7 linked regions of the Mus musculus genome follow. The protein of the gene in region 2 interacts with the protein of the main gene of each other region in a biochemical or structural test. Links are inferred from orthologs where the notes say so. Each region holds a gene or a part of one and is shown on either strand. Other genes may lie near its edges. The genes, in order: Arnt, Esr1, Ncoa7, Phb2, Ncoa6, Ube3a and Hdac4.

Evidence for each region.
Region 1: the proteins of Esr1 (region 2) and Arnt form a complex in vitro, tested with the Homo sapiens proteins (2 studies listed by BioGRID). The link is inferred for Mus musculus from reciprocal best matches to the Homo sapiens genes ESR1 and ARNT.
Region 3: the proteins of Esr1 (region 2) and Ncoa7 form a complex in vitro, tested with the Homo sapiens proteins (2 studies listed by BioGRID). The link is inferred for Mus musculus from reciprocal best matches to the Homo sapiens genes ESR1 and NCOA7.
Region 4: the proteins of Esr1 (region 2) and Phb2 form a complex in vitro, tested with the Homo sapiens proteins (3 studies listed by BioGRID). The link is inferred for Mus musculus from reciprocal best matches to the Homo sapiens genes ESR1 and PHB2.
Region 5: the proteins of Esr1 (region 2) and Ncoa6 form a complex in vitro, tested with the Homo sapiens proteins (4 studies listed by BioGRID). The link is inferred for Mus musculus from reciprocal best matches to the Homo sapiens genes ESR1 and NCOA6.
Region 6: the proteins of Esr1 (region 2) and Ube3a form a complex in vitro, tested with the Homo sapiens proteins (2 studies listed by BioGRID, with this or other methods). The link is inferred for Mus musculus from reciprocal best matches to the Homo sapiens genes ESR1 and UBE3A.
Region 7: the proteins of Esr1 (region 2) and Hdac4 form a complex in vitro, tested with the Homo sapiens proteins (2 studies listed by BioGRID). The link is inferred for Mus musculus from reciprocal best matches to the Homo sapiens genes ESR1 and HDAC4.

What each region holds. Positions count from the first base shown.
Region 1 is NC_000069.6:95,433,099-95,437,189, reverse strand, and holds the start of Arnt (aryl hydrocarbon receptor nuclear translocator), read right to left. Parts: upstream 2,801-4,091; 5' UTR 2,654-2,800; coding exon 2,629-2,653; intron 1-2,628. UniProt on the Homo sapiens protein: Required for activity of the AHR. Upon ligand binding, AHR translocates into the nucleus, where it heterodimerizes with ARNT and induces transcription by binding to xenobiotic response elements (XRE).
Region 2 is NC_000076.6:5,000,158-5,003,145, forward strand, and holds part of Esr1 (estrogen receptor), read left to right. Parts: intron 1-1,031; coding exon 1,032-1,266; 3' UTR 1,267-2,988.
Region 3 is NC_000076.6:30,649,827-30,653,326, forward strand, and holds part of Ncoa7 (nuclear receptor coactivator 7), read right to left. Parts: intron 3,263-3,500; coding exon 3,110-3,262; intron 1-3,109. UniProt on the Homo sapiens protein: Enhances the transcriptional activities of several nuclear receptors. Involved in the coactivation of different nuclear receptors, such as ESR1, THRB, PPARG and RARA.
Region 4 is NC_000072.6:124,711,095-124,715,088, forward strand, and holds the start of Phb2 (prohibitin-2), read left to right. Parts: upstream 1-1,194; 5' UTR 1,195-1,342; coding exon 1,343-1,469; intron 1,470-1,609; coding exon 1,610-1,694; intron 1,695-1,967; coding exon 1,968-2,047; intron 2,048-2,889; coding exon 2,890-3,074; intron 3,075-3,735; coding exon 3,736-3,865; intron 3,866-3,965; coding exon 3,966-3,994. Other genes in the region: Emg1 (ribosomal RNA small subunit methyltransferase NEP1), read right to left, coding at 782-949.
Region 5 is NC_000068.7:155,437,984-155,441,924, forward strand, and holds the start of Ncoa6 (nuclear receptor coactivator 6), read right to left. Parts: upstream 2,801-3,941; 5' UTR 2,705-2,800; intron 157-2,704; 5' UTR 112-156; coding exon 1-111. UniProt on the Homo sapiens protein: Nuclear receptor coactivator that directly binds nuclear receptors and stimulates the transcriptional activities in a hormone-dependent fashion. Coactivates expression in an agonist- and AF2-dependent manner.
Region 6 is NC_000073.6:59,284,250-59,287,749, reverse strand, and holds part of Ube3a (ubiquitin-protein ligase E3A), read right to left. Parts: intron 3,071-3,500; coding exon 2,926-3,070; intron 1,697-2,925; coding exon 1,491-1,696; intron 883-1,490; coding exon 718-882; intron 1-717. UniProt on the Homo sapiens protein: E3 ubiquitin-protein ligase which accepts ubiquitin from an E2 ubiquitin-conjugating enzyme in the form of a thioester and transfers it to its substrates.
Region 7 is NC_000067.6:92,177,542-92,181,654, forward strand, and holds the start of Hdac4 (histone deacetylase 4), read right to left. Parts: upstream 2,801-4,113; 5' UTR 2,717-2,800; exon of another isoform or gene 2,461-2,716; intron 1-2,460. UniProt on the Homo sapiens protein: Responsible for the deacetylation of lysine residues on the N-terminal part of the core histones (H2A, H2B, H3 and H4).

The sequences.
Region 1 (4,091 bases), on a different chromosome or scaffold from region 2:
ATTAGAAGACATGGAAGAATTCTCCACATGGAAAAAAGAAATCTTGAGCTAGGAATGTAGCCCCCGGAAAAGGAAGTTAAGGCAGATGGTAAAGAGAGCAGGGGGTTAGTCTCACTGGGTCTGTCGTTCTCTGTTCTCCGCTCAGACCTACCATCCCATCTCATAAGAGGCTGAGGCTACGCAGGGATGTCAGCTACAGCAGGAACCACTGGGTGCTATGCCATAACTAACAGCAGACTAGAATTTAAGAAAACTCTTACATTCTCAGGTTAATTTTCAAAGGTTTGCTAAGAACCTACACCTCACCTTTTGAGGTTTTTGCTTGGTTTGGTCTGGCTTTTGATTTTGAAACAAGGTCTCACTATGTAGCATGGAACTGACTTTGTAGACCAAGATGGCCATGAACTAAGATATCCCCCTGCTTCTGCAAAGATTAAAGGAATTCCAGCCTATTCTCCCTCTGTTTGGTAAGTACCTATGATGACTCTGCCCACCTCAAAATTGAAGAAGCAAGCAATCAAATAACAATAAATAAAATCAATTATTTCTACTGGTGATGACACTCACAGCTTTAATCCAGCACTCAGGAGGCAGGAGCAAGCAGATCTTGAGTTGGAGGCCATCCTGGTCTACAGAGTGAGTTTCATGACAGCCAGGGATACATATAGAAGCCCTGCCTTGAAAAACCAAAGTCAAAACAAACAAACAAACAAACAAACAACTGTTTCATTAAAAAAGATTCTTAAATCGTACTTTTTAAAAAGTTTTGATAGTTTATATAGGATGGCACATGCGAGTGATTCCAGCACTTGAAGATAGAAGCAAGAAGACCACTGCAAGTTCAAGGCCAGCCTGATCTTCACAGAACACTGCAGGCCAGCCTCTCAAAATTCCCCACTCAGAAAAAAAAATAGAAAAAAATTACTATTTCCTGCTTACAGACTTAAGCTAATATTGATAAGGAAATGACTATTTGGTCAAGAAAGTGTTGTTTTAGTAATTGGTTTAAAATCAGAACAGGGCAGCTAGAAAAGCTTCTGACTTACTAACGTGTCTCTACGGCCTTAACAAGAGAGACACTTTGCAGTCTGAAGAGTTATATAAGGATTTTGCAACATGGGATCAGTTTGAAATCTTGTTTACTCTAATCAGACATGGGCTATTTTGCTACAAGGTCTGATTTTCTCTAACATTTTTCAGTTGTATAGTTTTATTCTATAATTCATCAAATATTCCAATAGTTTCCTGACAATTTACTTCATCTTCATGTAAAAAAAATAATAATTTAGGATTTAAAAAACTGATATTCAGGGGCTGAAAGGAAGGTTCAGTAGTTGTGAGTATGTGTTACTCTTCTAGGACCTAATGTCAGTTCCTAGCATCCACATCACGGGGCTTTCAACTGCCTGAAACTCTTGCTGCAGGGGATCCAACACCCTATTCTGGACTCCTCCCATTCCTGCACTCACAAGTAGACATTATCATATACATAATTTCTAAAGCTTAAAAATATTTTTTTTAAAGTTGATATTGACACATGAATTTGAAGCCAACCTGGGCTACATATAAGTTCTAGGACTCTCTCTCTCTCTCTCTCTCTCTCTCTCTTAAAAAAAAAGGCTGTTTCCAAAAATAATGGGAAAACAATACATTTCCCAGTGTTTCAGCTATTGTGTGTATGTATATACATACGTGTGTGTACCCTGTTACTGTAATATAGTACATTAACAAGATAAAATTTAAAAGTTCAATGTGAAATAGCAGAGACCAATATTACACAACCCTCCCTCCAAACTCTTCGATGATACAGACTTCTGGGAAATGATGGATTTACTTTGTTGGAAAATAACAAGGTAAATTAGCCCAACTAAAATGAAATACTTCCTAAGATGTAACTGAATACAGTAGAAAGGACTGAGAGGGAGACTGCAGTGATCCAAAGTCAACCGGGGGCTGGAATGAGACAAGACTCAAAATAAGATGAACGAGAGACAGAGACAGACAGACAAACAAGCAAGAGGACGTCCACAGACAAATGGCGCGGGACATTTTTCTGAAAGAACAGGAGTTGCTCCACCTCGACCTAACAAGATTTAAACCTGGGTTCTGGACTAAAGACCTGTCCTGAACTATTACCATTACCCAAACCTCTGCCTTCAGCAGCAAGACACTAATAACTACGCTAAAACCCTAAATTTCAAAGTATAGGAGTTACAAGAATCTGAGCAGATTCTCAAAGAACTAAGTTTTCCATTTAAATGTAAACCAAGTGTAGAATCAAGCAAGACTTTGCAAAACGTCAACGTGGCCCCGTCTATAGCCCAGTTTACGCTCGCAGTTACACCAAGTCAGTTTGCCCAGTTACTTACTAGGCATCAGGGGAACATCAGCTGGCAGAGGGTTAAAAGACCACAACACTCCCTAACACCGCAGGCAGAGTGGAGACGCTGGCCAAGCGCCACCACTACTCCAGAAGTTGGGGCACGGAGCCCCCAAACACCCGTCACCCGTTCCCCAGGTCCTCCGGGCAGGGCGCCTCCTCGACACCCCTCCCCCAACACCCGAACGCCACGGCCCTGCTGCTCTGCTCTGGCTCTCCGCACTTGTCAGTCCTTTCTGCCGCCTCACCTGGGTTAGCTGTAGTCGCCGCCATGGTCGAGATGGCACCGTCCCTGCGCCACCCTCGGTGGGAGGGGCAGCCGCCACCGAGCTGGGGGAGGGGAGGGAAGAGCCACTCCGCAGATTAGGCACCTTACCGCCGCCACCGCTACCGCGGAATCCAAGATGGCGGACGCCCACCCCCCTCCCCATCCTGGGCAGAAGACACGCCCCAAACTATGGGCGCGGTCAGTCTCCAGACAGCCTCCCTGGGAGAACTGGCCAATAGAAACAGTAAGTCGCCATAGAGGCCGGGCTAGTGACTCGGCCAGTGAGTCCGGTGACCCGAGGAGTGCTAGGAAGCCTGAGCTAGGAAGCCAACCAGCTGTTTCCCTAATCCGGCCTTCTCGGCGTCAGAGATTCATAACCAAATTGACGTCAGTGAAATGCAAAGAAAACGAGCATTTTACTAAAATGTTTTCTTTCTTAGTGGGCTCATCAGCATATGCTTCCTACAGACGATTTGTTATGCAAACCCTCTTTATAGGTTCTAACACAGGGATCACTAATCCATTCTAGGTTGTTTTTTCTTTATGAACTTTTGTCACTAGTAAAAGTCCGATAACTAATTCTTAAGAGTTGGCTCTGAAGCTGGTAGGAAAAAGCTGGGTGATTACGTGGTACCAAAGATGCCAACATTTGAAATGGAGACAACGAACAAAGAATTTTTATTAAACAAGTATTCCAGAACTCAGAATGCAAAGACCAGTCTGTACTACAAAATGAAACTAGTCCCTTTCTCTGCCCTCCAAAAGTGAGGTGTCCTATGTCACAAGTTTTTTTAAAATGACAAGGTAGTAAACACACAGACGTAATGTCTAATTATAAGAACTGAGCAATTCAGAACAGACAATGTCGACTCAAAACACTGTGAGATAAATTCTATAATTTTACAAATCAAGAACTACAAGCAGGGGCTGGAGAGATGGCTCAGCGGGTAAGAGCACTGACTGCTCTTTCAGAGGTCCTGCGTTCAAATCCCAGCAACCACATGGTGGCCCACAACCACCCCTAATGAGATCTAACGCCCTCGTCTGGTGTGTTTGAAGACAATTACAGTGTACTTATTTAGAATAATAAATAAATCTTTGGGCCAGAGAAAGCAGGAACTGAGTGAGCCGACCAACTGGAGTGGGCGAGGTTGATTGGAGCAAGCAGAGGTCCTAAAGTCAATACCCAATAACCACATGAAGGCTCACAGCCATCTGTACAGCTACAGTGTACTCATATACATAAAATAAATAAATAAATCTTAAAAATATATATTTAAAAAAAAAAAAGAACTACAAACAGATCCAGGCATAGTGATGCATGCCTTTAATCCTAGTACTCAGGAGGCAGAGACTGGCCAATTTCTCTGAGTTCAATGCCAGCCTGGTCTACATAGTGAGTTCTAAGACAGCAGGAGCTATATATAGAAAGACACTATCTCA
Region 2 (2,988 bases):
CCATACACTACTCCCAAGTACTAGGATTACATATGTGCTCCATCACACACAGAGACATTCTTATCATTAAAAAAATCAATCCATGGAAGAGTTATGATTTCCTGCCTTCGCTGCCCACATGACAGAGAGGCAAGGAGGAACAAGGAACTAAGGAGAAAGCAGAAAAGCCATTTGCCTGCATCCTTCTCTCCCCACTTTCTTCCCTGTTTCCTCTTGTGGGCAGAATCTCCTGTTCTGGGCATTGGCAGAAGTTAGGGCCATGTGGAAGGAAACTCCTGAGTGACAGGGACTGAACCATTGTCATGGAGCAACAGAGGACTTTTGGTCACAAGAGGCATCCGAAGATTCCATGGAAATTCATCCTGGAAAAGACAACAGAATGTCAGATTCTCTAGATATCTACAGGTCTTTCTTCATTTCATTAAGGAGCAAATCAAAGACCAGTGACTGAGAGTCAGTGCAGGATGACATCCATGGTCCTCTGTGAGAAAGATGAAGGCATGTCTAGGCTTCAGAGAGCCTACATAGAAATTTTGATTTTTAACTTCTGAATATTATAGGAAGCCATTGAAAAACTCAGGCAAGGAGCCCAGCCCATAGAATGATGTCTTCAACATTAGGGTGGGTCTTCCAACCCTAATTAATGTAATCTAGAAACGGTCGTGTAGACATCCACAGATATCTAGAGCTTGTCAAGTTGACATTCAACATTGGTTACATCACAGAGAGGAAAATGCATGGAAAACCCACTAAACGAATTTGGTGGAAAAGTATGATTGTGGGGGTGGGGTATTCTTATAGGATGGAGGAAATGAAAATACGTGGACACAAGTCCCAGCCCCAGCCCCTTAAGGGGTCTCTGAAGCCCCTAAGATTCTACAGCTGTCATCTTTAAATGAATTCTTAATAGGTTTAAAAAATGACTCCCAAGTGCCTTTGGAGTTGCTCATCCTCCCTCCTCCTAAGAATTTCAGCCGTCCTGGGGGTTCAGCCATGATCTAACATAGTTCTCTGTGTTCCTTCTCCTCCAGTAACAAAGGCATGGAGCATCTCTACAACATGAAATGCAAGAACGTTGTGCCCCTCTATGACCTGCTCCTGGAGATGTTGGATGCCCACCGCCTTCATGCCCCAGCCAGTCGCATGGGAGTGCCCCCAGAGGAGCCCAGCCAGACCCAGCTGGCCACCACCAGCTCCACTTCAGCACATTCCTTACAAACCTACTACATACCCCCGGAAGCAGAGGGCTTCCCCAACACGATCTGAGAGCTCCCAGGCTCCCCGAAAGGTTCTGAGAATCCCTGCAACATTTTACCCATGTCATGTATGACTAGCAGAATTCTGTCTCCTGCGTACACTGTGGCATGCATCCACCACCAGTGGCTTTCTAGTATGAGTGGCCATTTATTTGCTTGCTCAGTTCTTAGTGGCATGTCTTCTGTTGGGAACAGGCAAAAGGGATTCCAGGGCTAAATCTTGGTAACAGCTCTCTTTCTCCCTTTGCTACGTCACTAACTATGAGGATTCCTATAGTCTTCAGTCTTCATGAATGAATTGAGATAACTGCATTGAAGCTACTTGTTGAGACCCAAGCCTAGAGAGTAAACATTTCACCTCTGATAAGCACTTCATAATGGCTCCAAGAGGAAGCCTCAGCAAAGACTTCAAAGTGGCTCCTTTAATTGAAGTCGTTGACAAAGCGATCTCATGGCTTCCTAATAGCACCCGCTTGCATTCCTATAGCAACATGTGACTTTATTAAAGGGAAATCTTGAGCCCCTATAGGAATATGTGATGCACACAGAAAAGGAAGATGCCCCCAGTTGTCAAGACCATGTCAACTCAATACAGTCAACCTTTTCACTTCTTAAAGTGTCAGCTGCCGAGTATTATATACATGGTGGGTTCTAGACAATTCTTGCTTCCCATGACTTGTGGGAAACAGAAAGTCTATTTCAGTTAATACCCTGGAATGAATTAGTCTCCTTCATGAGGGCTGTAGGGTGTGTTGATTTTAATTTGATTTCATTTTATAATAGTCTTCTGCCCCTGGGGCTTGCAGTAAAGGCAGCTTGAGGACCTGTTCTGGTAAACTGGACATTCTTCAGCACAGGATGCTAGCCTTGTCTCTTCCCTGATGTCAATTGCCCTAAATTGTTACCATGTAGATTGATCAAGGGCAGTCACAATGAACCTGCAAGCTGGTGACAATTTTTTGGTTTGTTTAGTTTTATTCTTGGGGGCAGGGAACAAGTAATGTATGGGCAATGACTGTGACTCGGAGGAGTCTAAGAAGGAAAGTAAGGGAGAAATGTGGAGAATGACCTGGCCAGGGCAGCAGCTTCCCAGAGGTGCACCTCACAGATCCCACCATGCACAGTGAGGCTGCTCTGGGATCCATGGGCTGACTTCACTTACATTTCAGGTATGAGCCTGATTGGAAGAGGTGACATCAGATACCTGTGTTCCTGTAGATGCTCCAGGAACTTGGGGAAAGGCATGGGGGCAAGATCTTGGAGCACTCATGACTCAAGCTGTTGAGAAGTTGCTCAGACTAGACTGTGCTTGATTATTCTGAACTCATCCAAAAACCAGCTAGTGAGATCTTGGGGAGAAAAATTTCTTCCTCAACACAGTTCATGATCTTAAATTTTGTAAACTAGAAATGATGAATGACCAGAATTGGGTCATGAGAGTCCTTTGAACAAGGGGATAAAAAGGAAGACTTACTCTATCCACAGCCACCCAAGACCTCTGGGGTCTTGGTCTCTCTAGTACAACTAAGGATTACTTCCTTTTCCAAACCAAAATGAAAGTTCAGTTTCCATCCCGGACTTCATGATCTATAATTTGAACTCCATTGAGATATGATGGGTTAGCCAAAACCTAGGTGAATGGCTAGGCTTCTCTTGGCCTGTACTTTTTGGAATGGTGGGTTCCATTAATTTCTGCTCTCCCAGTTAACTGACTATCAAAGATGTGGAAACT
Region 3 (3,500 bases), about 26 Mb from region 2:
AATAATGGAGCTGGAATACAATAGGGTGGCACCTAGGTTTTTTAAAGCATGATTTTACAATATGACATGAGAATAACAGAATCCTTTAACAGGTGGGAAATGAGTTCCTTTCAGATAAACCGATAGGAAATGCCGTCTCTAGCCCTCTACAGGGTTCTAAATAATATTCCTCAGCTAGGGAAGCATGTTCTCACGGTGAACTTAACTCTTCTCAACTGTCTACAGCCAAATGTAATCGCTTCAGGGATATCGTTGGCTTTCTACTTCTGAACTCACTGAAAGACACCCCCAGCTCTGTGGGAAGGGGGTCAGCACTTCATGTCCTATGGCCAATCTCTTCCTCTGGAACAAGTCCCTAAGACAATGACCTGGACTCTGAGCTATACATCTGCCTGCTTTTCTCAGAAAAAACAACTTTGCTTTAAGTAGCAGAGTGCTGGTCTGGCCCTAGCTTGTCTCAAACAATGTGCATGTATTTATCTAGTGCTAGAAGGAGAACAATGAGGTATCTGGCATTCACAACCATCATGTCTGAGATGCGAGTATGTGGGCTGGGTAGAGGAAAGACATCTGCCTCTAGCCATACTTGTCTGAATTTTCATCTCTGAAACAATGAACTTGGGAGGCGTATAAGAAGTGCTGGGCCTGTTAGAAGGGACAGGAAACTAGCAGCTGTGAGAAGAGGGGACCCCCATCTCCTGGACCACACAAGTCCAGAGTAAAACTATGGGTTTGAACTGGGATTGTTGGAGTGGTGGGAATAGGGTTGTGTCTCAAGTGCAAAGAATTTCATTGTTATTACTGAGACTTATTAGATTTTCTTGAATAAATATTTCTTCATTTGCTGCATGCCTTCAGGACAATTTCCAGAGACTGTAAAGGATTGTTGCTTTTATGATTCCCACAACTCTCTACAACTCCTCATTTTCCTTCTGCATGTGTAATATTAATTTCTATTATTTTATATTATATTATTATATTAATGTCTGTCATATTCCCATAAACAGAAAAGACACCTTATTTCCTCAGGATGGAGAGGCTGGAATGTGCCAAGCTAATGTCCAAATATTCACAATAGCATCTGCAGGGTGCATGATATGTTAAAACTCTACTCCAGTAGTTCTCAACTTGTGGGTCAATGACCCCCATGGGGTTGCATATCAGATATTTATATTATGATTCGAAAGAGTAGTTAAATTACAGTTATGAAGTAGCAGCAAAATCATTTTATGGTTGGGCGTCACCACAACATGAGGAACTGTATTAAAGAGTTACAGCACCAGGAAAGTTGAGAACCTTTGCTCTACTGCCTGACGACATGTGTTAGCCTCAGACCTCTGTTACATCACTGTTGACAGGAAGTTTAGCAAAACTGTGCCTCATTGGTACCTTCTCAGTGTGGACAAGTTGGATACGACTGCTAAACAGACAGAAACTATATATATTTTTGTAACTGAAGTGTTATCTAGTCACAATTGTATTCAAGACATAGCACCAATGATTCTAACATTTCATAACTTTCTATGTGACTTTAAACACTTTGTGGTATTATTTTGATTTTCATCTTAATTGTTCACACTACTCATCTTGGATCATTATTAAATAAGATCTTATCAATCCTGATGTAATAATAATAAAAATAGTAACAGTTATTCTACTTTCAGTAATTCTTATGGCAATAAAGTCATAAAGACTGTGCCTTCCATAACTTCACCAGGGCCATAATCTTTTTGGGGACAAGAGTCTCACTGTGTTGTCCTGGCAGTCTTGGAACTCACTTTTTAGACCAGGCTAATGTTGAGCCCACAGAGATTCAGCTCTTCTGCCTTCCAAGTACAGGGATTAGATGTGCCTCACTCAGGGAGGTAAATTGGCAGGATAGAGAGTTGTACTTCACAGCAAGCTCCTCACTTGAGCATCACAGGTTGAGCAACCCCAATCAGAAAACCCCTCCAAGTCCCAAACTTTCTGAATGCCAACACAATGCCAGAAGTAGAAAAATCTGCACCGAAAACCTGTTTCATGAGTAAAATTATGAAAACTCCCTCTGTGTGTGTGTGTGTGTGTGTGTGTGTGTGTGTGTGTATGAGAGGTGGGGGGAGAGAGCGATCTCCAAGATATACCCTTATACATATACAAATCTTCCATGACTCCCCCAAATCCATATTTCAAAACACTTTTATCCCAAGAAGCTTGGATGAGAATTATCCAAGCTGAGATGTCCTGTACATAATGGGTGTTGATTAGACATAACATGACTAAACTAACTGATTTATTAATGACTTTGGTATGTAACGGCTTGATTAAACAGGAAATGAAAGTGGTTTGCACATAATCCATGCACAATGTAAGTTGATTTGAAGGAGGTGATAACAGTGTAGAATAGATGGGGTACTACGTAATAACTCAAACAGCTCATAGAAAGGGCAGTCACCACACAGGTAAGAGTACCATGAGAAAAGGATTTCCCATGGCTACTGAACCATTGAACCCCAGACCCAATAAACAGAAGTTGACTATCCCCTACCCAGTAGGCATCATCAATGGCTACTACTTAAGACCCTTAGGATAAAACTCTGGTATGTCACTGAGATTGTCTTTGCAACTGTACACATGATTGTCCCTAACTTCTACTTTTAAACTGCTTTAGGTTACTATTTTCTATCTTATGGTCAGCACAGGGAGAAAATTTCTCAGCATACAATTGTTCCATTTTCTTTATATTAGGATTTCAAAATACACCCACAAACAAAAACAAGAAGAAAAAGACATAAAACAAGAATGTCCAAATCCATTTAGTCTGAGAATGGGAGTCGATATAGCAGTCTCTCTACTGTGGGTATTCTAAAAATCTGCCACCAAAACACCTTTTCAGGTGGAGATACAGTTCAGTTGGCAGAGTTTGTCTGCATGCATGTGACCCTGGACTTCATCCCTAGCGTCTATATAACCATTTATGATGATACACACTAATAATTCTAGCACTCAGAAAGTGGATGTAGAAAGATCAGGAATTCAAAATACCTTAGATTATATAGCCTGAACTAGATTGAAATCATATCTCTCCAAAAACAAGATACATGTTCTCTGTGAGAGGAACAGGCCTCACCTGGTTATCCATGTCTTTGATGACCAAAAGAACAGGACTATCTAGAGATGCTGATTTCCTGTAGAGAGTCTTCAAGCTCGTTCCATGCTCTAATGTGCTGTAGGCCAGTCTCCATGGATAGCCTTGTACCCTGGCTGGAAGTCGTCGGGCCAGCTGCCAATCCAGAGAAAATACAAAAGGCCATTTTAACCACTAATCAGTCACTAAGAAGTGCGTTAACTAACTGCCTGTGGTTCAAACTAAAGGACTGAACACTCACATTTGGACCTGTTTTGCCTAGCTGAGAAAGAAAAAGGAAATCTAGAGAGTGTTTCCTTTGGCCAGGATGCCACCCAGGAGATACCTTGCTCACTCAGAGCCTGATTGTTGGTTTCCAGTGTCACTGATAAAA
Region 4 (3,994 bases), on a different chromosome or scaffold from region 2:
CATTGAACAAGTTTAGCTCTGAAAGGCAAGACATACAAAAGAAGGAAGGAGCCGGGCGGTGGTGGCGCACGCCTTTAATCCCAGCACTCGGGAGGCAGAGGCAGGCAGATTTCTGAGTTTGAGGCCATCGTGGTCTAAAGTGAGTTCCAGGACAGCCAGGGCTATACAGAGTAACCCTGTCTCAAAAAAACAAAAAGAAAAAAAGAAAGAAAGAAGGAAGGAAGGAGGGGGCTGGAGAGATGGCACAAACTTTCTTGTATAAGACTCAAGTTAGGTTCCTAGCACCTTCATGAGGTGGCTCATGGCCACATGCAGACTTGCATGCATAAATAAAGGTAAAGTAAATATTTAAGGGGGAGGGTAAAAAAGCAAAGACAAAGGCTTTTTAAATAATCTGATCCAGACATACTTCAGAATAGGTAAATACAGAACAAGCTGCCAGTCAAGCCCCATTTAACAAAATAAAGCATCAAGTCCTTGGTAGTAAAAGGCTGGGGAAGTCACTGGCCTTTGGAAACGTGGGAACCCTCAATAGACAATGCTTCCCTCATTTTGCATTATACATCACAGACTCCGTGATAAGTCAACTAAAAGCAAGGCGAGGGCTGAAATGAAAGTCCAGAGCAAAAGGACTACCCCCAGGATATCAACAGCCTGGAAAACTAGGTCATTCTTCCAGAGCAAATTTCAAGGCTCCGCTTTTCCATGCACTCTGCGGCCCTGGTTCCCACACAATCTGATCCATCAATTCCCTACCTCCGCACTCACTGTTCAAAACTACCTTGACTGTCTCCAGACTGGCCCCTTCCAGCACCACAATGAGCCTCCGGCCTCCGCACTTGCTTCCTGCCCCAAGCCGGAGCTTCTTAGGCGGCGTAGTCTCCCAGTCCTGCTCCTGCACTGAAAATCGCCGCTCACGAGGTTGGAAGCCACCACTGGCCGCAGACATCTTGTAGGCAGACCGGAAGTTGCACCGAAGTCCTTAAGTTAGAACTTCACGTCCGTCCTCACGGCCAACTTCCTTCGAGCTGCCATTTTGAAAGAGGGCGCTCGAAAATGGCGATGCCCGTACGGAAGCCTCTCCGGGAGGGCACACCATTCCCCCCCACCAAGAGGCGGGACTTCCGGATGCGCCATTCCTGTGCGCGGAGTTCAGGGCCGCCCGGGCGGAGGGGGGCGGGTCCGGAGGGAGGCGCACTTCCGGTGCCCTTTCTCCCGCGAGCTCTAAGGCCGCCGATCCTCGTGTGCAAGGCGAGGTCTGTAAGCTGGAGCGGGGCAGAGGCTGGCGGGCACCCCCTCCTGACCGCTGGTGCCGCCGCCGCCGCCTTCGGGAGGATCAGACATGGCCCAGAACTTGAAGGACTTAGCTGGACGCCTGCCCGCCGGGCCTCGGGGCATGGGCACGGCGCTGAAGCTGCTGCTGGGGGCCGGGGCGGTGGCCTACGGCGTCCGCGAATCCGTGTTCACCGGTGAGCAGCCTCCTTCCGCTGGCCGGACGTTGCGGTCCCCAGACCCACGGTCCTGCTATCCCCCAGGTGTCCCCGTCCCACCTACGCTGACCAGCACTCGGGCCAGTAGCCTGCCCTGACTCCCACCCCTCTCTCCGCAGTGGAAGGCGGTCATAGAGCCATCTTTTTTAATCGTATTGGTGGCGTGCAGCAGGACACGATCCTGGCCGAAGGCCTTCACTTCAGGTAATGGCGGGCAGAGCGAACAGGCCCTGACCCTTCACCCTTGACGGCTGCAGCCAGACTTAACAATTCGGAGCTGCTTTACCCCTTCCTCACGCCTGCTCTTGAGGACAGTGGCTGCCTGAAACTCCAGCAATGCATAAAGGGCTGTTCTCGACTGGGAAGAGTCCTTGTGGTCGTGGGGAGGAACAGGCCCAAGGACGAGTGGTGAGGGGAACCATCAAAATCAATAAAACTGCAGTTTCCCAACTCCTGTCCATGACCTCTCCTCTCCAGGATCCCCTGGTTCCAGTACCCCATCATCTATGACATTCGGGCCAGACCTCGAAAAATCTCCTCCCCCACAGGCTCCAAAGGTAAACGTGGGCAACTGGGAGCCTCAGGGCACGTGGGGAAACAAATGTAAAATGAGCCTGGCCAGGCTGCCAGAATTGGTTGTGTTTCTGAGGTCTTGGTTTCTACGTCTGCAAAAGAGCCATGCCTCACGGTTCAAAAAACGGTGCATTCCAGTACTTGGCATGCATGCACGTTTTAACGTTACCTTCTGCCTAGCATAAAAGGGATAAGAGTTGCCTTTCTTCCTGGCTGCCTAGGTCCAAGTCTGTTTTTAAGGCCTTTTTTTTTTTCTGTTGATTTGTTGATTACATCCACAGTACACCTTGCTCTGGAGAAAGTGCCCCCACTCTTCACTAGCTGTTGCCCTGTAGACCATAGTTAGAAGGCCTGCCTTTGAGATTCCCCAAGCCTGGGCCTCATTCCCATGTACACACCGAGGCAAGTAGCCCACAGAAGTGTGCTTCTCTGTTGCTGTTTGTGGTGTGTGTGGTTTATGCGTTTGCTAAGCCATAGGCCTTGGAAATAAAACACAGTTCTGGTTCTCAAGGCCCTAATGGCAAGGGGGAAACCCAAGATTATGCTGCTTGGTGGAATCCACTTTGGAGGAGGAGTAGCAATTTATTAAAAAAAAAAAAAAATAGCTGTACTGGTGGAAGGTCCATAGAAAAGATTCCACAGTAAACAAGGGTCTGCCTCGCCCATCCATGTTGTTCACATGCTCTGTGTTGACATGACTATCTTCCTGCTGGAGTGCTAGGCTGTACAGTAACACTAGGCATGGTGGGAAGCACTCCTAGGAGAAAGCGCTGGAAAAGGGGGAATTTGGCCTTACCCGGCGGCCACTGCTGACCTCTTCCCTCAGACCTGCAGATGGTGAACATCTCCCTGCGTGTGCTGTCCCGACCCAATGCCCAGGAGCTCCCCAGCATGTACCAGCGTCTAGGGCTGGACTATGAGGAGCGAGTGCTGCCGTCCATTGTTAATGAGGTGCTCAAGAGTGTGGTGGCCAAGTTCAATGCCTCGCAGCTGATCACCCAGCGGGCTCAGGTCTGACTCCTATCACTGTCTGCACGGCGGCAGCCTGTGTCTCTCCTTGGTCAGGGTTACTGGGTACTGAAAGAAGGTATTTCGGGATGGGGTGGGACGGATCTGTAGTTCAGTTGATATGTACTTGCCTAACATGCACAAGCCCTGGTTTTATTCTCAAGCATTGCTTAAACCAGGTGTGGCACATGCCTGTAATCCTAGCACTCGAGGTAGAGGCAAGGGGATCAGGGGTTTAAGGTTATCCTTAGCTGCATGGACTGTGGGAAAGCTGTGCTGTGACTGTGGGAAATGAGGAGAAAAACGGTAGAACCTGACACCAGTCGACCCTAAGAAGGAAGCATAGTACAGAAAGTGGCAGTATTGCCTTACATCTCCACAGAAGGTCTTCCTCCGTTAACTGGAAACTAAAGAGATGCATAAACTGAAAAGAAGAGATTAGGTCTCAGTGTGATGTGGGGCAGTCTGGTGATGCCACGGCTGTCACAGGAAGAAATGGAACCAAGTTTTTTCTAGTGAATGTTTGAGGACTTAAGTGGTGGGTTTGCTGCCCATATTCAGGAGCTCCGGTGTTCAGATGGTTACAGCAATGCCACCACCTTCCTTCCAGTTCTCTGATCCCCTCAAACCAAGCCTCCCTTCCCCTCCCGACCCATGCCCCCAGGTGTCCCTGTTGATCCGAAGAGAGCTGACAGAGCGCGCCAAGGACTTCAGCCTCATCCTGGATGATGTAGCTATCACAGAGCTGAGCTTCAGCCGAGAGTACACAGCTGCTGTAGAAGCCAAGCAAGTGGGTAAGTCCATGGAGGCAGGCACTGGTCGGGGGGCTTCTGGAGGTGGGAGGAGGGGGGCTACATGTTCTTGGGCTTCTTACACCTCACACTTAATCCACAGCCCAGCAGGAAGCCCAGCGGGCCCAGTTT
Region 5 (3,941 bases), on a different chromosome or scaffold from region 2:
CGTGTCATCATCTTCTAGTCCAGAGTCAAACTCCACCTCTGAGTCGCCCATTGTAGATGAACACAAGGAAGTATAGATGTCTTCAAAGTTTGGAAGGTCATCCAAAACCATGGTGTATTATTCCAGAAGTATATGCAAAGTGAACAGTAAGTAAACCTTCAGAAAAAGAGAGGATGCAGAGTATTATAAACTATCATTATATAGTCAGCATATCATTTTTATTTAATATGTTATCCATACCTCTATAAAAGATGTAATTTATTTACCAGATAAAATTTCCTTTCATAATATTATTTGCTACTTTTTTTTTTGTTAAGACTAGACTATTGGGAGAAATATACAAAGTGACACAGGAAAATCAATAGATCTGAGTGTTAGCAGTGCTCACCTGCAACCCCAGCGCTTTGGAAGATCATAAGTTGAGCTCACCCCAGGCTGCAGAAGTAAGCTCTTGTCTCAAACAACAGCACCCAGAAAAATCCTTTATAAAATAACTATACTTCTCCAGCTACATTTAAGAATTTCTAATAATATTAAAAGTAAATAAATAAAACTAACAAAAAAATTTTAAGGCTAAAAAGCTGCTGCTTACTTAGCAAGAGAAAGACTGAGTTTTGAAACTGCCTAAAAACTGTAGGTATTTAGCAACCATTTCAAAGTAGGACAGAAAGAAAAATAACTTAATGATATATGTCATTAAAGTTAAACAAGAGTAAACCAAACCAAAATTAGTAGCTGGAAAGCCATGACACAGACGGGTGAGCTGACTTAGCAGGTGACTAGGACCGCTCCTAAGCTTGCCGATGAGTTTGACCCTCAAGATCCATATGACGGCAGGAGAGAATTAAACTACAAGTTGTCATCTGACTTAAACACACACCAAGCCCACTCACACAACAGTAAATAAACAGATGTTTAAACATTTTCTTCAAAAAAAAAGGGGAAGATAAAATAAATGTTAGGATAGGTGTTAATAAAATGGATTAAAAGAAAAATATAAAAGATTAACGAAACAAAGAGTTCTTTGATAAGATAACCAAATTGACCAAAATAAATAGACATGAATTAAGAAAATGAGGAGGCTGAAGATGCAGCTCAGTTGCTATAGAGCTTGCCTAACATGCACAAAGCCCTGGATTTGATCCCCACCATCACACAAATCAGGCATAGCGATACATACCTATAATTCCAGCACATGGAAGATGGAAGCAGGAGGATCTCAGAAACCCAAGATCATATCTGGCTAAAAGGGAGTTTAAGGCCAGTTTGGGATACAAAGAGGCTTGGCCTCAAAAAAGATAAGTATACATACATAATATATATTATATACATAATACATAGACTAAAAAGGAGATATTAAAGCAGTGAGATTCAAAGAGGATCTCTAAGGAATTTTTGAAAACTTCCAGTAAGTTGTTAAAACTAGAAGGAACTGGTATGTTTCTCAATACATGAATTACCAAAATTAAACCAAAAGGATATAACCTAAAAAAAAAAAATTAAAAAAAAAATAAAAATGATCACCATACAATGAGGGCTGGTGAGATGGGTTAGTGTGTAAAGGCACTTGTAGCCACGCCTTGTGAGGACAGAGAGAACCAACCACCTCTGTGTGCTGTTTGCTAACCTCTGTACCTCATGGTGGCATATGCACCTACAAGATATGCACATACAATAGAAATAAGATGTGGAGGCTGGAGAGACGGCTCAGCAGTTATGAGAACATGTTGCTCTTAGAGGATCCAATAGTTTTGTGTGGGTGCTAAGAAGTGAACTTGGCTTCTCTGCAAAAATAACAAGTATCCTAACCCCTAAGCAACTCTCCAGCCCCACTTCACCCCTGGTCATACTGATTATAGTGCTTGAACTCTTTGTTGTATGTTTGCTTGTTTTGAGACAGGATTTCTCTGTGTAGTTCTGCTGTCTTGGAACTCATTTTGTCGACTTTGCTGGCCTCAAACTCATCATAGAGATCCACCTGCCTCTGCCTCTGCCTCTGGAGTGCTGGAATTAAAGGTGTATGCAAAATATAAAATAAAATAAAAGTATGTGCTATTATATCAGCCCAGCTAGTGCCTGTAGTAAATAAAAAGCATAGAAACAAGCAAGGCAGAAGTCAAATCATTCCTACTTACAGATGTGATCACTTACTTAAAACATACTAAGAACGTCTCAAGGTAACTATTAAGAGTTAGGTAGTAAATACTTTCAAGAAAATATCAGGGATATAAAATTAACCTAGAAAACCCAGTAGCAGGGCTAGTAAAATGGTTCATCAGTGAAGTGCTCTTTGAGAGGACTGAAGCTCAGTTCCCATGTCAGGTGGCTCACAACCTTGCCTAGAACTCCAGCTATAGGGGATCTAATATCCTCTTCTAGACTCCACAGGCACCAATAAACACACATGCAAATAAAAGTAAATTGCTAGGTTCTCTATGTACTGATAATATGCTGGGAAAGAAATTAGGAACCCAGGTTCAATTCCTAGAACTTACATGGAGGTTTTCAACTGTTTGTAACCTCAGTTCCAGGGCATTTGTCACCCACCCTTTTCTGGCCTCCTTGGAAATTTCATGAATGTGTTATACAGACATACAAGAATGCAAAATATACACAGTACATATAAAACAAATTTAAAATAAAAGAAAAACCAAAAAGGTAGACTTAAAAAAAAAAAGAATTTCTTACATAAACTTTCACTTACCAAAATGTCTTAATTATCATTTATCCAGATCATCCTCTAAGTCCAAGCAAGGTGGCATCTTTAGGGCTTATAGGTCAAAGTAGCAACCAATCAGAATTCTTTTAGAGAGAGAGAGAGAGAGAGAGAAGAGGAGAGGGAGAGAGGGGGGGGGGAGGGGAGGAGAGGGGAGGAAGAGAAACAGTATTATAAAGAAATAAGATTAAAAATACGAACAATAAATAAATACATACATAAATACATAAACTCTAGAGATTGTTAAATCAGTTTTCACTAGAAAACTTATCCCACATGTAGAATGAAGAAGCAAAACTCAGGAACCCCAAGTAGCTTCATGTAAGAGCCACAGAACTGGGAATTCTGGCTTTCTTGCACCCTCCAGACTTTTACTCTTAACCTTGCCAAATTAAACAAGGAAACTACCTATAGATATTTGGAGACAAATATTTTTCTTTTTACAAGTCTTAAAAGATTTTTTTGTGGACATGGGTATTTTGCTTATATGTATATATGTGTATCACATGTGTGTTTAGTACCTATGGAGGCCAGAAGAGGGTGTCGAATGTCTTGGAACTGGAGTTACAGATGGTTGTGAGCCACCGTATCAGTGCTGAGAGGCAATCCAGGTCTTCTGGAAGTTCAGCCAGCGCTCTTAACATCTGAGCATCTGTCCAGCCCCACAGAATATTTTCTATTCACATTAATACAAAACTCACATCTTCTAACATAATTTCAAACTTATTTTTAAAATCCATAAAGTATAAATATTTTCCTTATTTATTCACAATATCTTGTAGTTTGTTTGTTAAGGAGGGCCCGACCTGCACTGAGAGGAAAGCAGGTCTGTGAGAAGAGTCGCTTTACTGTCAGGCGTTTTATTTTTTTTAAAGATTCATTTATTTATTATATGTAAGTACACTATAGCTGTCTTCAGACACTCCAGAAGAGGGCATCAGATTTCGTTACGGATGGTTGTGAGCCACCATGTGGTTGCTGGGATTTGAACTTGGAACCTTTGGAAGAGTAGTCGGTGCTCTTAACCACTGAGCCATCTCACCAGTCCCTGTTTGTTTGTTTTTTTTGAGACAAGGTGTCTCTGCATAGCTCTGGCTGTCCTGGAGCTCACTCTGTAGACCAGGCTGGCCTCAAACTCAGAAATCCGCCTGCCTCTGCCTCCTGAGTGCTGGGATTAAAGGCGTGCACCACCACGCCCAGCTCCATCTTGTAGTTTTAATTAAAA
Region 6 (3,500 bases), on a different chromosome or scaffold from region 2:
AAAATTTGTTATAGTACAAATGTAGTTTGTATCATGACAGTACAATATTTCACCAAAAATAATAGTATAAATTAATATATCTTAAAATTATACTATGTAATATTTTCTTTTGAAGCTAAGTTATTTCCTATTGCCAAGTAAATAGCTTTTAAAGTTAGTAAAAACCAAATCTAATGTGAATAATCTGATATGCATAATTAGATCTCATGACAGTACAATATTTCACCAAAAATAAGTATAAATTAATATATTTCTTAAAATTATACTATGTAATATTTTCTTTTTAAGCTAAGTTATTTCCTATTGCCAAGTAAATAGCTTTTAAAGTTAGTAAAAACCAAATCTAATGTGAATAATCTGATATGCATAATTAGATCTCAAATGGAAAATGTATATACACACTAAACCAGATGTCAATCACTGGGCTCTGTATACCTCTTAGGTTTAATATGGTAAGGCCCTGTTTCTAGCGTTACATTATAGTAATATTTACCCATTCAATCTTTTGTAGTCTGTTTAGTCTTTCTCTAAAGGGGAATTAACAATTCTGTACAATCACATAAGCTCTTATCTAAGAGGAAAGTGTAGCTTTACTATTTAGATAAATTTGTTTATGTAAAGTTTTTATAACTGCTTCAAACCATACTAGGTAATTCTTTGAAAACTTTACTGCTTTGAAATTATATATTTATAAAACAATGACAAAAATTTAATTACCTTCCTGTTTTCATTTGTAATTGGAATTTTATCACCATTTTCTTTTAGATCATACATCATTGGGTTACCAAAAAGATCTGTCTGTGATATCTGGAAAGTGATCATCATATCATCTTCCACACTCCCTTCATATTCCAATAAATCCTTTAAACTCTGATATAAAACCTAACAACCAGAAAGAGAAGTGAGGTTGCCAAATAAATACTAAAAGAAATAAAAATAATAGATTGTTCATTCTTTGTAGAAACAACTTGTCAACAAAAATGAAGCCATAAATATTCCACATCTCTCAAGTAGTTTAATAAGATAGAAAGGTTGTCACAGGCAATGGGTCAATCTTAAAAATTCTTCAAATGATCAGTTCAGCAACAGATTTCATACCATGGTCTAGAATATACACTTTCTCTCCATGATTGTGGCAGGGTACAGGAAATGAGGAAAAACAAACAAACAAACAAACAAACAAACAGGAAAACAAACAACAAAAAAGCCACACACATATCAACTGTACCTATCAACAACTTTACTACATAGACTCATATGGGACATTGAAAACATGATGTTTTCAACATTTTTTATGGGGTCAATCAAAACATACTTGATAGGATATATAAAAAATGATGTTTATTATACTTAACCAGATTAAAAGTATTTTACTTTACTAAACAGCAGTATCAACAAAAGTTTACAAATAAATAATGTTCCTATATAAACTGAGATAAACTTCTGTATTTAGATACAATCTTAAAGACTATTAACGAAGGACAACTTACTGGGTGAGAGTCTCCCAAGTCACGAAAGGTTCCTTTTTTCCCCATTAGCTTCCTGTATACAACCATGGGAAAATGGACATCCAGTATACAATTATTGTAAATAGCCAGACCCAGGACTATGCCAATCAGAGTAAACTGACCCTCAGTTTCAAAAGAAGATGGATTAAACCAAAATAATTTCGTAGCTTCATCATATGTGAACATACCTATAAAGAAATAATTAAAAGTCATTTTATCCACTTAATGACTGAAAATTACATATGAAACAAATGCATGATTAAGTAAAAAAAAAAAAAACAATTGGAGAAAGTTGATTAACTTTAAGTTACTTAAAATTCATATCAAATCTAAGCTAATATAATTTTAAAAAATATTTTGTGATCTTTCAGCTTCACATGATCTTCATTATTCAAAGCCAAAGTCCAGAGATTTTTTTTCCTATCATCATTATTTTATCTAGGTGAACATTAAGAGATAGTCTTTTTTTTCTTTTTTTACGGAACATCAAACAATAAAATAAAACAAAACTAATTGTATATGCCTTTCAATTTTTCTAAGTTTATTTTCAGTTGCTTCTCAGGAAATACTTTTTATACAAAGTCTAACAAGCTGGGGGAGAGAGTGGGCTGTATACCTTAGCACTTGGTAAAATGAGTAAGGAAAATTATGAGCTTAAGGTTAGAGTACTAATACAATATAAAAAGATTGTCTAAAAAAGCCAAAATCAAAATGAGCAAATCAAAAAGTTTTGGGAAATGTTTTTCTAATGGAACAAGAGTATTAAAAAACAAATAATAAAGCATTAAAATGTACTTTCAGGTTAATTTTAATATTTAAAATGTTTCCTTATTTTCACTTTCAGTTTTAATTAAAAAGAAAAGTACACTTTTCTCCTTGAACTGTAGTAATATAAATTAAGTCTAAGCTTTTTCTTGCAATTTAATATTTGTGGAATACTGGTTTCACAAGTATTCAATTCATACTTGCATTCCAGCTTGAAAAATGTGAGTTATGTATGTCTGTATCATTTGCATGCCAGGTTATACATCCAGGTAATATCAAAAGTTCCAGTTCACAAATAATAAATCTGATAGAATGTCACCAATGGATGCTCTTGGTCTCAAGGACAATTAAGCTATAAATTAACCAGAGGATAAATTATATAACCTATGATTCTCATGACTTCAGGTTTTCAAATCTACCACTCTAAGGTTTTTCAAATTAAATTTCCCTAGAAGGCAACTGTGTTCTACTAGAATATTTGACTAAGTAATATATGGAAGAACCTAAATTAAGTGAGTGATAGAACAGCTCCTGAAGCAGGGATATGGCATACTCAATTTTTTTACTGCTTACCATAACTGAAAATATTTATAAACCAAGTTTATACTTTAAAAGACTAACACACCATCATAATCATATCACTAATACTTACCAATATCTGGATTAAAAATTTCCTCCACAACCAACTGAAAAAACTCTTTGGAAACGCCTCCCTCATCTACTCCTTGTTCTCCTTCAAATTCCACATACAACTGCTTCTTCAAGTCTGCAGGATTTTCCATAGCAATCATCTCTAGCTGTTGATTGAAAATATAAAAAAGAGGACAGTTGAGAAGAGGAAAAATGTAAGATATAAGTAGAAGAAAATAAGAAGCAGCAATAACAAAACAATATGGAAAGAAAACAATGAATTTTGTTTCTGAAAAGAAAAAAAGCAAACTGACTTACAGTTTTTGGCAAGATTTATTTCAACACACAAGAGTATGTACTGTGTTTAAGAAGCTATGCATTTCTTAGTAAAGGATATAGCCAAAATGCTGTTGGGGGTGGGGTGGGGGGAATAGTTGCAATTATGTCCTGTATATCTTCATCTTTAGGGGTCTAAGGGCCTATGAATTTATTCTGTAAAGAATCTCTATATTGGTCTACTTTAACTAATTTGTATGTCTTCATGTATGTATATTCACATGTCTCCTTCCACCTAAGATGTATTTCCTCAGGATCTGT
Region 7 (4,113 bases), on a different chromosome or scaffold from region 2:
CTCCGTCACCTGCACCTCAAAGGTCAGTGTCACACTTAAGGCCCAGAGTTGGCTGAGCAGCAGGACACTGGATGGTCACTGGAGACCAAGACAAAGCCACTCCAAAAATCTCTTTGGGGCCCCTACCCCAAGACTGGGTTACAACCAATGGGACATGAGCTCAACTCTGGATTCACCCTCTGAAGCCTGCATAGTCACCCCAGGGCCCAGAGACATCAAAAGCCCTGGTCCTGGGACTGAGCCCCCCCACGCCACCCCAATCTTCCCGTGCAGCAGGTGTCTCTCATTTCTGCATCTCCCTGGCTCCCTACATCAGGTATTAATGTATTACTTATGGCAGCTTCAGAGTTCTGAAAAACCAGCCGTTTTCAATAGAAAATGGCATGGACAAGGCTTGACAGGAGTGATGAAATTTTCTTCTGCTCTGGCAATTAGGACGGCACAAAGTCGCCTTTCCTTTGGTGCCACCCCCAACATCAAAGGATTGGAATTCAAAGCCGTTCATGCTGCATTGAAACCTCACAATGAGGCTGGAAAATGGAAGTCGATTACTGGGCAAAAATATGCAGTAGTTAAAAGGAAAGAGTTCTAACGAAATTAAGCTGCAGCAGCCCCACGACGTGTGGAAACTTCCAGCACCAGAGCTCTTCTGGTAAACATCAAGAGGGACATCCTCCTAACACAGGTTTGAAAGCAAAGTCAAGCTAGGAGCCAGGAGCCCCAGGAAGATAGAGTGCTATGTTCTCTTGCCCACCTCACCAGCAGCAGCCCCTAGCTTCTGAGAAGGTGCCATCTGGGGGCTTTATATGTTGCACAGCTCTCTGATGTTGCTAACCACAGACATTCTTGCTAGGGCTGCTTAGGTCACATCTGTCCTTGGTCTCTAGGCTATCCAGGCCCCGTCTGCAGTTCACAGTCATTCTTCTCCCCCACAGGGCTCCCAGATACCCTGTAAGCAGCCTGCAGACCCCTAAAGGGGGCAGTGTTACCTCTGCCTTCTAGCAAACCCAGCCTCTTCTGGGTGATTACTGCTCTTCAGGAAGGCATTTGATCTTTAAAAGAAAAGCCAGAACACAGAAAACCATAGAAGTCTTACAGTGTGTCGGGTGTGTGTTTTTAAAGCATGAAAATACTTCCCTCCCACACAAACGGGGAGTTCTTCTGGGGAAAGATGCCACAGATCCCGAGGAGTGGCAGATCTGGGAAAGCGGATGGGTCTTAAAAATAGACAATTGAACCTAGACTAGAGCTGCAAAGCTACCTGGGGGAAAAAAATGAGAATTTTTAACTAAATCTCACATATTTTTTGATATCCAAAACTCCATCCTGATGAAACTTCTAACTGGGTGGCATTTTGCATTTCCAATTATAATGGAGTAATTGTGTTGCCATAGTGACTGCAAAATTCTGCAATAACTTTTGCTGCCTTGTAACTGCTATAGTGTATATTTGTGTACAAGCAGCTGAGTTTTCTTAATTCAACCTCCTTGCCTCTCCACAAGCACTACACCTACCTACACCACCACCACCACCATCACCTTCTTTCTGGGTGGATTTTGAAACCACTACACTAGCTTTCATCAAGCCGGTCCTGAAATAATGCACGGAATTATCAGAAGCAATTAAAACTCCTGGCAACCTCGATCATATCACGGAGGAAAAACCGAAACCAGGTCAAGGTGCAAGCCGCCAGCATCCCCCTAGCCCCAAAGTGCGACAGGGCCATGGCTGTTTACACGTTAATACTCGCAGGCCTTAAATGCTTAGGTGGTTTGTGGGAACAGACAGAAAAGCCTGAGCAGAGAAAAGCAGGGAGGCAAAGTGACTACACAGGCCTTTCCTTCCTCCCCGGGCAGGCAGAGTGGCTCTCGGAAAGCAATTAGGTAGGTCTCTACAGTAATGCAATTAGGATTTAGTTAAGAAAGTCATTAGTTCTAAAATAACTTAAGTTTAATTTCTGCGACGCTTTATTTGAAAATCGTGTCACAGCAGGTCAATTTACAGCATGCAATAACCAAAACACTGCTATCAGCGGCTGCAAGTTATTAACAAATTCTCGGTGTGCATTAAAGGAGAACACGGGTTCCACACCCGGCCTTTCCGACCGACTCCCGCTGTGTGAGCTACAAGCTGTGCCTTCGGAACCCTCGCTCAGGGTGGACACCGGTCGTCTCCGGGGCTAGCGCAGCTCCTCGCCAGCCCAGCGACGGTCCGGGCCCGGCCGCGGCCCCCGCCCCGCCGCCCGCCGCCGCCGAGGGGCGTTTTCTGCAAACTCACAGGCTGACAAAGTTACATAAACGCCCCGGCCCCCGCCCCCGCGCGCCCACCTGCCCGCCCGCCGGCGCAGGCCGCTCTCCCGCCCGCCAGCCCGCGGCGCAGGGCCCCGAGGCCTCGGCGGGGCCGGGCGTCCACCTGCCGCCAGCAACCGGGCGGCGCGGACAATGACGGCCGGTGGCTTACCGCGGCGGCGGCGGGCCGCGTCTAGCCCTGCTCCGGCGCTCCGAGCCGCATCTCCTCAGCCTGCGCCGCCGCCGGCGGGCGGGCGGGCTCGGGCGGCGACGGCGACAGCAGCCGCGTTGAGCGGGCCGGGCGTGAGGCGGCGCGGCGGCGGCGGCGCGAGCAGGCGCGCGGGCTCGGGCTCGGGCGGCGGCGGGGATGGTGCTCCGCGGCAGCGGCCCCACAACCTCCCCTCCTCATTCACAAAAAATTGACCCACGTTGAACCATGATGCTGCTCCCCCTCGAGCGCAGAGCCGCGCGGGGATAGGCCGCGCCCTACGCCCGTCAGGCGCCCCAGCCCCGCCCCTCCCGTCGGCGGCCCACCAGCCATTGGCTACAACGGCTTTGCGTCACCTCCCCCCGTGGGCGCCGCCCCCTGCCTGGTTTCTAATGAAGAAAGCGTCAATTACGGCTCGGCCCCGCCTCCAAGAATTCAGCCGCCCTTCCATTGGTCCGAGAGTCCTAAGTCCGCCCCACAATAGCCCAACAGCCAGCCCCGCTTCGCGGGCGCTGCGAAGGGGCTCCGCCTTCGTCCGCCCTTCTCAAAAGTTCCAAACCCCATTGGCTCCCAGCATTGTCAATTCTAATGAGCGGGGCGTACCGAAGACTCTCCAGGCGCCCGCTCTGAGAGCTTTTGCTGTTTTAGAAAGAGCAGGGAGCTGGTGCGCGAACTGATTGAAGCCGTGGACAGACCTCCTTGGCAGCCCGCGGCGCTGCCCGGGTCAATACAGTGTGCCTGAGCGCCTGTCTCATGCTCTAAGGGGGCGCGGAAGAGCACAGACTAAGGCGAGGGCCCGGCCGGGCCTGGCGGCAACCTCCATCTTAGGCAAGGCACAGATCACGTGGGCTGCGTGCGGGGGACGCCGAGCCCAGAGGGAGTGCGCAGGCGCGGCGGGCCCCGCCCTGCCCCGGGGCAGGCGCGCCGCTTGGGGGTGCGGCTGTGACTGTGGGGCCTTGCGTGGCCGTGGGAACTGGGGGTTCTGGGACCGCTGCTGTTGCGGAGGTGTATTCTTGGTTCGCCGCCACGGCGTCCCGGTTTGTTGGGACCACCCCTTCTCTGAGGTTCTTCTAGACCTGGGCCAAGCGCCTATAATTGGCGTTCACGAATGTGGATGGGCGTGAAAGGCCATCCTTCTGGCTCCCTTGGGTCCATTTCCTTTCATCAGGAGAGTAGTGCAATTTCTCATCCTGTGTCCATGATATTTCCAGAATCCCACATCCAAAACGAAGACAAGAGCATCTGGTCCACCCTACATGGCCTGACCTAGGATGCTGACCTATTTACTAGGCCTTGCCTGATAGGAGTTGAGTAGAGATTTAATAGCATTTTTGTTCCATGACTGGGGGAAAATTGAAGGTAAAACAATTCGCAAGAAGCAATAGATTCTTTTCATTATCTCAAGGTAATACTGAGTTAGAAAGCTTCATTCACTGGGAGAAATTCATACTCTAGGATAGCTCAGCTGTGAAGCCAAGGGATGAATTGTGGAATAGAAAAGAGCAGAAGAAAATGACCGCACTTAGGAGTGCTAGTGCAGCTGCTTATAGAAAAGTACACTACCAAATTTACATACAAAATAATGCAGGATCTGCAGCCTGCTAACATTTAGATGAA